3 linked regions of the Stegostoma tigrinum genome follow. The protein of the gene in region 3 binds, or shares a complex with, the protein of the main gene of each other region. Links are inferred from orthologs where the notes say so. Each region holds a gene or a part of one and is shown on either strand. Other genes may lie near its edges. The genes, in order: taf11, taf8 and taf7.

Evidence for each region.
Region 1: taf7 (region 3) and taf11 share a complex: the UniProt entries of both Homo sapiens proteins name them as parts of the TFIID basal transcription factor complex. The link is inferred for Stegostoma tigrinum from reciprocal best matches to the Homo sapiens genes TAF7 and TAF11.
Region 2: taf7 (region 3) and taf8 share a complex: the UniProt entries of both Homo sapiens proteins name them as parts of the TFIID basal transcription factor complex. The link is inferred for Stegostoma tigrinum from reciprocal best matches to the Homo sapiens genes TAF7 and TAF8.

Annotation. Positions count from the first base shown.
Region 1 is NC_081374.1:38,050,231-38,053,983, reverse strand, and holds the start of taf11 (transcription initiation factor TFIID subunit 11), read right to left. Parts: upstream 2,528-3,753; 5' UTR 2,257-2,527; coding exon 1,871-2,256; intron 1-1,870. UniProt on the Homo sapiens protein: The TFIID basal transcription factor complex plays a major role in the initiation of RNA polymerase II (Pol II)-dependent transcription.
Region 2 is NC_081374.1:14,878,780-14,882,532, reverse strand, and holds the start of taf8 (transcription initiation factor TFIID subunit 8), read right to left. Parts: upstream 2,663-3,753; 5' UTR 2,600-2,662; exon of another isoform or gene 2,207-2,599; intron 33-2,206; 5' UTR 13-32; coding exon 1-12. UniProt on the Homo sapiens protein: The TFIID basal transcription factor complex plays a major role in the initiation of RNA polymerase II (Pol II)-dependent transcription.
Region 3 is NC_081368.1:72,088,370-72,092,122, reverse strand, and holds the start of taf7 (transcription initiation factor TFIID subunit 7), read right to left. Parts: upstream 2,400-3,753; 5' UTR 2,085-2,399; coding exon 2,045-2,084; intron 1-2,044. Other genes in the region: zgc:101583 (magnesium transporter NIPA2), read left to right, coding at 2,749-2,769. UniProt on the Homo sapiens protein: The TFIID basal transcription factor complex plays a major role in the initiation of RNA polymerase II (Pol II)-dependent transcription.

The sequences.
Region 1 (3,753 bases), on a different chromosome or scaffold from region 3:
GAAATGTTAACTTTGATCCTTGAGATCCAGAGGCCGGTGGGTTGTAAGTGAGGATCAGTTGTAGGAGGGGAGTGCACGGGTCAGGGTAGAAGTGTAGAAGGTAGATCAGACATGGCTGAGAATCCTGCCAAGTCGAGTGATGGCCAATCACTGGTTGAGGAAAATGATGGACATTCCAAGGCCCCCGCTGCAAAAGGTGGCATCATCAGAACAGATGAGTCAGACACAAAGAAACTGAGAATGGGATGGAGTCCTCAAAGGAAGTGGAGTGAGGGGGCAGGTAGTCAAGGTAACTGAGGGAATCACTGGGTTTGTAATGGATATTAGTGACCAGCTGGAAATGGAAATGGAAACAGATGTAGAAGAAGGGGAGGATGAGAACAGGATGCAAGTTGTAAAGAAGTTTGATAAATTTTTCCCTTCCAGATGAGAAAGGGAAGAGCCCTGAGACTGTCATCAATGTACTGGAGAAAGGGTTGTGGGGAAGGACCAAAGTAGGACTAGAACAAACACTGAGACAAACATAACTGGTGCTCATGTGGGTATGCATGGCCGACCTCTGGCCTGAAGAAAGTGAGAAGAGGTAATGGAGAAGTTGTCCAAAGTGAGGATGAGTTGAGGAGAGTGGTAATGGATAAGAAGAGTTCAGGGTTACTCTCAATGAAGAAGGAGAAATCTTCAGACCATCTTAACGAGGGATTGGATGTCCACAGTCAAGAGGAGGCACCTGGTGCCAGCAAACTGGAAATTTTGAAATGAACAAAGTGTCAGAAGAATTGTGAATATAAGTAGGAGTGGTCTGGCCAAAGGGAGAGAGAAAAAAATTAAGTCAAAAAATGATGAAATGTGTTTCGTGGCGCAGGAAGAGGGTGAAATGATGCTATTACCTGGGCAGACATAATGGGAACTGCAGATGCTGGAGAATCCAAGATAACAAAGTGTGAAGCTGGATGAACACAGCAGGCCAAGCAGCATCTCAGGAGCACAAAAGCTGACGTTTCGGGCCTAGACCCTTCATCTGAAACGGCAGCTTTTGTGCTCCTGAGATGCTGCTTGGCCTGCTGTGTTCATCCAGCTTCACGCTTTGTTATCTATTACCGGGGCAGCTCCGTTTGTGAATTCTGGGTCGAAGACAGAAGTGGGCTGAGTTTGGGGAACTGAGACAGGAAATTGTTTGGGTCAGCAGGCAGGAGGAAAGCGCGATTCCCTGAGTGAAGTGAAGTTAGTGATGTCTGTGGAAATAATGTTTGATGGTGGGATCTTTTGGGGGAGAGGGTAGAATAGTTGGTGGTCAACTGGAAATATGCATAGAACTCTGCAGGAGCTGAGCAACTGTTGTTACCCCTCAAAACTTTATGTTAGATCATGTCAGCAATAATCCGAGCAAATATCGAAAGTGAGGTGAACATTTTGATGCGGGAGCAAATTACGGCAGAAACTTGAATCTGTACTGAAAGCAACTCTGATGAAGTCATCTCCACTCAAAACTATAGCTTGCTTTCCTTCTATGTATGTTACCTAATGTGCTGAGATCGCCAACATTTTGATGTGGTTTTGTTGGAGGTTAATACTAATTTATTTTAATCCTCCCAGTCACTAAGCAACTACTGTACTCAGAATTTGCAACATTTCTCTTCTTTGATGCAAATATTTCGATTTTAAACCATGAAAACTGACTCTCCAGTCCAACTCGTCCACACCGAGCAGACATCCTATATAAATCTGGTCCCATTTGCCAACATTTTGCCCATACCCCAGTTAACCTTTCCCATTCATATACCATCCAGGTGCCTTTTAAATGTTGTAATTGGACACGGGGACAGTTCATCGCCGGGGGTAGAAATCCTGTAGCTAGAGCCCCACAACTCACTGCATCTTCTGGATTTCGTCCTCGTCCACCTTCTGCTTCTTGTCCTTTTTGTCTCTGGCCGGCTCCACCCGCAGCCTCTTAGCCTGGTGGACAGCATCTCCATCCTCATCGTCCTCCTCTTCCTCGGCACCGCCTTCCCGGGGCGCCGCCGGCTTCTGGTCCGTTTGGGCCTGTCTCCCACCCGCGGCTTCCCCTGCCGCCGTCGCCTCTTCTTTCTCCTTCACTACTGCCGCCGCCGCCACCACTGCCGTCTCTGCACCACTGGGCCCCGGCTGCTCAGCCGTACCGTCCGGGGGTAAAACCTCAGCCTCCACCACTTCTCCGGCCTTAGGCGGCTCGGCCGGTACCGCGGCCGCTTTAAACTTCGCCTCCTGCTCCAAATCCATGGATCTGGCCCCGGGTGACCTGCTGACGGATCCCGGTGAGGCACAAACCGCACGGAGATCGCGAATTCAAAACTGCGGCTGATCCCGGGTCTAGACCTTTTTGCTGCTGGGCCTGATGTGTTCATCCATCTCCGCACCTTGTTATCTCAGATTCTCCGGCTGATCTCGGGTCTGCGTTCGAGAAAGATGTCCCAGGCCTGAAGCTACCGCGGCCGCTCAGCCCGACTGATCCCCGAGTTCAGCTCCTTCCTCTGGCTGCAATGTTAGGGCTTTGTGGCTCCTCCTGGATGTTGAGATCTCCAGCTCCTGTCTCAGAAATTTGCATTTCTGTTTAAGAATGGGTTGTAGTCACAAAAAACACACATTGCTTGGACTGAAATAAAAATAAAATACTGTATGTTGCAAATACCGGGACGGGAAAGCAGTTATAACCTTTAATTTCAATGAACATCAGACTGGTTGTGAGTTTTTATTTCAAGGTTTGCAGTAATTTGCTTGACAATATATCTTAATAATTTAATGTTTCTGTAGCTTGAAACGTTTTAAACCTTCATTGAGTAGTGTTTGCGGGCACTACATCCTTAGCTTGAGGTATATCTCCACTTCCAGTATAGAAAAAACAATATTAGTTTTCTTTATAGTCTGTTATTGTGGTTCAATGCTGTTAATTCACATCTCCACCTCCGTCAGTGTTCGTTAGACCACTAAGATTGGTCAAGGAAGGTCTGTCGCTTTCGTTTTGTTGCTCTGAAGCTGCTGGTCAAGTGGAACATTTGCACGTTGCGTATTGCTGATGAGGGAAGGAGAACGTACCTTCAAAGATTTTAAGATAAGGAGCTCTGGCGGGTAGTAAAATGCAGAACTGAGTTTAAAGCATAAGTCCCCAAAAGCCGTGGCGCTTGCATTGTTTAATATTTTTATATACAATAAAGTTTTTGTATTTGTTTAAAAATGTGAAACCTGATGGTTCTGTCAGTTTAATGCTGGGTGTTCGGATCTCTGAATCGTATCAGTCTCTGATAGCATCGTAAAGCATAAGTAGAAAGAACACTCAAAAACAGATTCCAGACAAGAAAATGTACAATTATGGCCAGGGCTGAAAAACCACGGAGGTCGCTTCTAGAGGAAAAAGATTGACTCAGGGGGCCGTCGCTGGATGATGCATGTGACTGTAAAATGGCAAACAAGCGATTGTGGCTATCACAAGACAGATAAATGTGACATAGCACGACAGCAGGTTTCCTGATACCGGTATCTCCAAACGGAGAGTAAGGCACACTTGTAATCATAAACAGGTTTGCTAATCACTTTTACTTGAAAATTGTGTCATCTAAAAGAGACTTAGGAATTAATTTGATCCTTTATAGGAATGGTGAATCAGAAAACTTTAAATGGGAAACATGGATCACATGTAACAACGCCTTATAACATACAAAAACACCACACCATCCTTTCGTAATGAATCTTTGTTATATTTTAGTTGCACAGTTGTTTCAA
Region 2 (3,753 bases), on a different chromosome or scaffold from region 3:
AGCCGTAGTCATTTTCACAATCTAATAGTTGCCTGAAACAAAGGTATATTCATGTTAACAATCAATAAACTGATATTTCAAACAACACCTGAACTTTCATTTTTACATATGCAATACATCAGTTTAGATTGACAAAAGCATGTTTGCATCGTGTAAAAGCAAGGCCTACAGGAACAGAAGAACATTACATATTGGTCTTTTCACTCAATGCAGCCAGCAGCAATACTTTGAATGAAAGAAACTCTTACAAACGGGAGCTAAGTGGATCATTCACACCCACCCAAAATGAAAAACCAGCAAAAACCAGAATGCATCTCAACGTCTTTGAACATTTAAATGGAGAAAAGCTGCAAGACACCACATATTTCAAAAATATAAAGAAATCACAAACTCAAGAAAAAGCAAAAGAAACCAGAAAAAAAATTAATCTTCCCACAAAGCCACTAAAATGCCAAATGGGTTTCATATCTGCCTAGCAACAAGGTTCTTCCACCTTCTCTAGTCTTCAAAAAGAATTAAATATTGAAAAAATTGCTATCATCCATTATAAGAGCAATGAAGGAGCATGTACTTTGTCATCAACCGGTGAGTGCGAAGTTCACTAGCAGAGATGCTGCATACAAAATAAGAATTAAATTATTATGGAAATACATTAAGGTGTTCCAAGATCCTAATTCTACTATGTAGGCTTGTTGTTAGCATTTAGCCCTCTATGCATTCAATAATTTGAAACAATTACCAGCTACCCATGAGAAGCATGACGGGCGGTCGAAGAAAACAAAAAACATCTCTCTTAAAACTCAGAACACTTATTTTACTATTTCATGGGAATATAGAGCCTGCTGGTAAGGCCAGCATTTGTTTCCCATCTTGAGTTGCCATCAGGATTTGTTACATTGTTGTTTGTTCAATTACAGGTGACAGATTATTGTTCAAGCCTACCTTCAGTATATAATATAGAATGGCACTTCAGTATAGTAAATTGAATTGATTCTCTGTACTTTTAACTACTAATTACACAACCTAATTACAGCACTGACAAACAGGAGGCTGAAAGAACACAGGAAGCCAGGCAGTATCTGGAGGGAAGTCAACGTTTTGGGTATTACCCTTCTTCAGGACTGGATGTGGGGTACAGGGAGCTGCAGATAAAGAGGGGAGTGGCAAGGGAGGGTAGCGGAATGGTGCTGATAGGAGATTTTTTTTTCTTTTATTTTAAGGCTGAATTACAGGGCCACTGCACCGGCATATATTGGCTATATGAAAATTGTTACTTGCTTTGAGCTAGTTAACCTTGTAAAATCATTTTACAATACCAGTGTTGAGGCAGTGAAAATATTGCCTAATTGATGCCCAATGCACCTGAAAATCCAACCACATGCTCCTTACATCCAGTGGATATGTCTGTGGCAAGGTACTAACGATCTGAAAAACCACATCCTTCCTGGATCCCACTTTGTGGCAGTGATGCAAGTACATAGGGCTAGCTGAGAGTCAAGTGCATCAGGTAAACCCTTCAAGTAGGTGATTTTCTTTCCAAGTACTTTTCCTCATCCATTATCATTCTCGATATCCAGAAATGCTGTATTCGCTTGTCCGAAATGCTCTCCCTTCGCACCACAATTAAAGTTTTGAAAAATATTTTGTTACATCGGATATGTGTTGACTGTCACATTATCTACTGAATATGCTTTTTTCATGCTCTTAATATAATATATTATTAGTTAATCTGCCATTTTCACCTTTCCTTTAAAAAAAGCTACAGAAAAACAAGGATTGAAACAGTCAGCACAGAAGAAGTGAAACCATTCATCACTTCGCAGGATGGCTTCTATTACAACTCAATGGAGTCTAAGTTGTGTGGAAACATGTTATTTTACATGCAGATAGTGTTCTGAAGCTACATACTGTGATGGGTAAAGGCTTCACTCTTTGTTCCATCTTACTGCTGCCCAGAAATCTCTTCCACTACTGTGTGGAACCAGATTTTGCAGTTTGGCTACATTATGAATGCATCTTCCTTGGCCATCAAATAGCTTCTGGCTCAGAGGCAGGGACACCACCCACTGCATTACAAGCTCTCCTTTTAAATTAGCAGACAGATCGAATTTACAGCCATTGATCATAAACCATTTCACATTTACGTGGAGCAAGAAAAACTCTAATTCATGCAATTTTAAAAGGCATTTATCTAACGTATACTCACTTTTAGTGCCTCAGACATTTAAACTGTAAATAATCGCATTTGGAAGACTTTTTTTAAGCAAAATATTTTGCTGCATTCAAAAAAAGGCAGCCGACATCGACGAATAAATTACTTCCTTACTAAATTTTAAATTTCATGAGTGCGTTAAGCTGTATGTAACTTTATAAAACTGGGACATTTATTTCTGGTTCAGGCCTGTACACTCGAGAGACTCCTGGCTGGACACCGGCTTAAAGTAAATTAAGATTTGATTTCCTTGCTTCAGGAAAATAAAACCATCCGGTGCCTAAACGCAAGCAGACTTCACAATTACGCTTGTTTTCAGTGCGGCCGGAGATTTTAGATCCGAAAGAGTCGCACGCTATCGGGATGAAAAATGATGCAGCTCGTCACCTCAGCTCAGCTCCGCCGACCCGCTTCCGCTCCTGCTCGTCGCTGCCTGTACTGCCCCCTGCGCTGGCTGAGCGGGGACTGCAGCCTGGTGCTCCCAGCCTGACACATCGCTCGCATCGGTGCCTTAAACTGAAACACATCCTTACACCTACATGTATCCTTCACCGAACGTCTCCCAGCCGCATGGAATGCTTTTGAAATGTAGTTCCTACCTTAATTTTTTTTTGTTCTCTCTCTCAGAGGGCTGTGAATGTGTGGCATCCTTTGCCACAGAGGGCTGTCAATTATATTCAAGGAGATAGATTTCTTATCATTAAGGGCATCAGGGGTTATGGTCACAAGGCAGGAAAATTGAGTTGAGGATTACCAGATTAGCCATACAGATAATGGGAACTGCAGATACTGGAGAATCCGAGATAACAAAGTGTGGAGCTGGATGAACACTGCAGGCCAAGCAGCATCTTAGGAGCACAAAAACTGACATTTCGGGCCTAGACACTTACCATTTCTGTCCTTTATCATCTATGCCCAGAACGTCAGCTTTTGTGCTCCTGAGATGCTGCTTGGCCTGCTGTGTTCATCCAGCTCCACACTTTGTTATATCAGATTAGCCATAATTTGTTTGAATGGCAGAATATATGCAAAGGGCCAAATGGCCTTCCTCTGTTCATAAGTCCCATAGGGAATAAAGGACACCAGGCAATTTGAATGGGAAGGCACAGGTATCAGCTCAACATTTAACCAGTAAGATAACACCTTCCGACAGTTCTTATTGTAGTGGCTGGAATGAGATCAACCAAGTGGGCATTATAGAATAAGAGTTCCCTGACTGGGGCTGTTAACCTGGTCTGACCAGAGGGCCCTGGCTGACAGGAGTGTCAGCGATTCTGTTCACTCTAGGAGACAGTTCTAAGCTAGCTGGGTCAGTGTTATGTACTATGCATGTGTAAATAAAGGCTGACTTGGTGACAGGATACCAGCCTTTGTGGAGCTACTTCACATACCACCTCAGGAGTGGCAATTTTTATTTTGACCCTTGAGTCCTAGACGAAGACTTAAACCCAGACACTTTTGACTTAGAGTCAAGAGTGCTTCCAACTGCACCACAGGTGACAGCAGCATTTACAGGGCCACACTGCATATATCAAGAGCAT
Region 3 (3,753 bases):
AAAATTGGATGTGTAGTGGACAGCAAAGGAGGTAGCCTCAGAATAGAATGAGACCTTGGCTGAGTGAGCCAAAGAGCCAAGGAGTGGCAGATGGAGTTTAATTTAAATAAATATGAGGTGGGGCATTTTGGAAAGGCAAATTAGGGCAGGACGTATACACTTGATGGTAAGATCCATGGGAGTACAGCTAAACAAAGAGACTTTGGAGAGTAGGTGTATAGTTCCTTGAAATTGGAGTCATAGCCAGACAGGATAGCCAAGGAGGTATTTGGTATGTATCCCTTTATAGGTCAGTGCATTGAGTATAGGAGTTGGGAGATCAGGTCACAGCTGTACAGGATGTTGATCAGGCCACTTTTTAAAGACTGTGTGCAATTCTGGTCTCCTTGCTATAGGAAGGATTTAGTGTCTCAGAAATGATTTACAAGGATGCTGCCAGGGTTGGAGTGCTTAAGCTACAGGGAAAGGTTGAATAGGCTGACACTATTTTCTCTGGAGCATCAGAGGCTGAGGGGTGACCTTATAGAGGTGTATAAAATCATGAGGGGCATGGATAGGGTGAATAGCCAAGACCATTTCCCAGAGCGGGGGAGTCCAAAGCTAGAGGACATAGGTATAAGGTGAAAGGGAAAAGATTTCAAAGGGACCTAAGGGGGAAATTTTTCACAGAGGATCATGCAAGTACGGAATGAGCTGCCAGAGGAAGTGGAGGAGGATGGTACAATTACAACATTTAAAAGGCTTCTGGATGAGTGTATGAATAGGAAAGGTTTAGAGGGACATGGGATAACACTAGCAAATGGGACTAGATTTATTTAGGATATCTGCTATGAGTTGGACGGAAGGCTGTGTTTCCATGCTGTACAGCTCAATAAGTCTAAGAGCAAATCATGGGGAATCTGGACAGAACAGAATCAGTGAACTACTTCCCATTAGTGGAATAGTCAAGAACCGGATGACAATCAGCACTCCAAACGATCCCAATGCAGGGAATTTATTTTGCAGCAAGTGGTTAGGAGCAGGGATGTCCAAGAGTGCAGGAGGCAGTTTCAATTACGGTGTCAAGACAGAACTGGATATTTGTCTGAAATTTGCATAGCTGTAGGGAACAGGCAGGTTAGTGGGACCAAGTTGATCCTGGAGAGAGTCATCACAGAAACAATAGGTTGGATTGCCTTCTTCTATGCTATGACCATTCTTCAATTCTAAATCTTTTCTGAGTCCTGTCAAAAATTTTCTCATCCTTCCTGGATTTTGGTACTCAGACTGGGCATAAAACTCCAATTGAGGGCAGACTTTTTTTTAAAAAGGTGTCATAATATCTATGCTTTTGCACTCCAAGCCTCAATTTATAAAGCCCATTGTGCTTTTTCAGCCAGAGTTTTAAGGTGCTGTGCCACATTTAATGATCTGTGTGCATATGCCCCCTCAGGTCTCTTTGCTTCTGCAATCTCTTAGAATTGCACACTTTATTTTGCATTACATTTCCACATTCTTCATTCCAAGTTGTTCCTCTTTGCATTTGTCTGAATCAACTTCCTTCTGCTATATGTCTGCCTATTCCACCAGACTGCTATTTTTCTCACTGTTCAACCAAGAGGTTTCCAGTGGTGAAGATCACATCTCGTGAATAAATATAAGAAGAACTTGTGATATTGCATCTTGGACACCCAAGTCTAGGGTCATTAATATAGATAAAGTGACAGTCATAATAGTAACTTCGGGGAAGTACAATTTTGATCTTCAGACTGACAAAGGTTCACCACTGCACTGAGTGACCGCTGCCTTGGTCCCTTTTATGCCATAGGCATCAACCTTGTCGGTAAGCTAGTGATATGTCTCTACATGAAGTTAGTGCTACACAGTTTAGCCTAAACAAACTATTTCCGGTGTCGAGCTACCCCTTGTTATCTCAAATTCTTCAGCATCTGCAATTCCTACTATCTCATCCCCTGATTTAACCAGACTTGTGCAGCGTTTGTGGGGGCTGGCCTGGGGTGACAGAAACAGGAGGCGGCCAGGACCACAGGTTGAACTTCCTCACCTGTCATCTTCTTCCAGGACACGGAGCCTTTTTTATCCATATTCCTCAGGCCCGTCCGTCAATCCATCGGCCGCAGTGCCCAAGGCTCAGGATCACAAGAGACAGGGAGTGTCCAAAGGTCACAGCCCGTTGGAGGGGAGGAGGCATAGAGCAGCCCGGACTTGATTCTCGTCTCCTGGTACACAGCACTGCCCTCAACCTCGGAAACCTTCTCCCAGGGACAGGCCCAGCCAAGTTCCGACAACTCCGTGGGCGATGGGGAAGACTATTCCTGCTGCATTCGGTGGAGAGGATGGTTCCGGAGCGTGTGCGTGCGTTGTTAGGGGGTGAGGAGGGAAGTGGTCAAGTGACGGACCGGAAACGGAAGTTAGGGCGGAGCGGAGAGGGAGGTGGGTAAATGCAGCGAAGGTGAGAGTTAGAGTGGGCGGGAGAGACTGGAAGGAGTGTTAGTGAGCGGGTAAGGGTTAATGAAAAAGGGAGAGTTTGGTCGACGGCTAATGAGGAGAGAGAGGGTTTGACAGTGAGCCTGTAGAGGTGGGTGGGGTTAGCAGAGAGACAGTGGCAGCACAGTTTCTATTGGGTCTGTGAGGGCATGGAGGTGCTGCCTGTCAGTTTCGCTTCAAGCTCTTAGCTGGTCAGATATTGACCCTTCCTCTTAGAGTTCCTAAGATACTGCTTACAAAATCTATCCACTGCCAGGACCAATGGCTTCCTCTTTACCACGGGTAGGTGATGTGACATTGCATTACACACAGATTTAACTTATTGATATTTTCTAATTAACCTGTTCAGAGATATTATGGCACAATTTTCAAACAGGTGGAACTTGAATCCAGGCCTCCTGGCTCAGAATCCCCTATTCCTGGGCATTGTCCAAAGCCTGTCAAATTGACAGTCAGTAGTTCTGGTGAGATATATTGTTTACATTGAAACTCCTCTTGCAAAGTTTCTGATCTATTTGTTTTTGTTTTGCACAATTGAAATGTTTTCCTTTCAGTTTTATCCAAAAAATGTCACTGTAGAGTTGAAGATTGGTTTTCAAATGGTATGAGATCATAATTTTACTTATTTACAGTTACCTGATGTGTAACTTTATTGTGAAAAAGTTGAACCATGGTCTAGGGAAGAACACACTCACTATTCCGGACACTTGAGCATGCAACCCTGGCTAACACATAATGCAATTCTGACTGATGCTGCACTCTCAGGAATGCTGCCCTTCAGATGACATATTAAACCAAGGTTCTATCTACTGTCTTAGATGAATGCTAAAGAACCATGAACCTATTTTGAAGAAGTGAACACTGACAACATTTCAGTAACAGCACTGAAAACTTGTGCTCCAGAACTTGTCACTGAGTTCACCAAGTTATTCCAAGACAACTATAACACTGCTGTGTACTGGACAATGTGGAAAATTGGCCAGGTATGTCCTGTACACAGAGGCAACAAACCCTAGCAACCCCATGAGACTAATTTCAAACACCAGCAAGTTGATGGAAGAGGTTATTGACAGTTTAATCAAGCAGCTATTGCTTAGCAATACAGGCAGTCCCCAATTTAAGAATGACTAACTTATGAGTGCTTGTAGCTGTGATCACAATACCTTACAGGGGTGAATTAATATTAATTTTGAAGATCCAATATGTGAATATTATCTCGTCCTTAGGAATGGCTATTTTATATCATCCTGCATTATGTTCTGACTT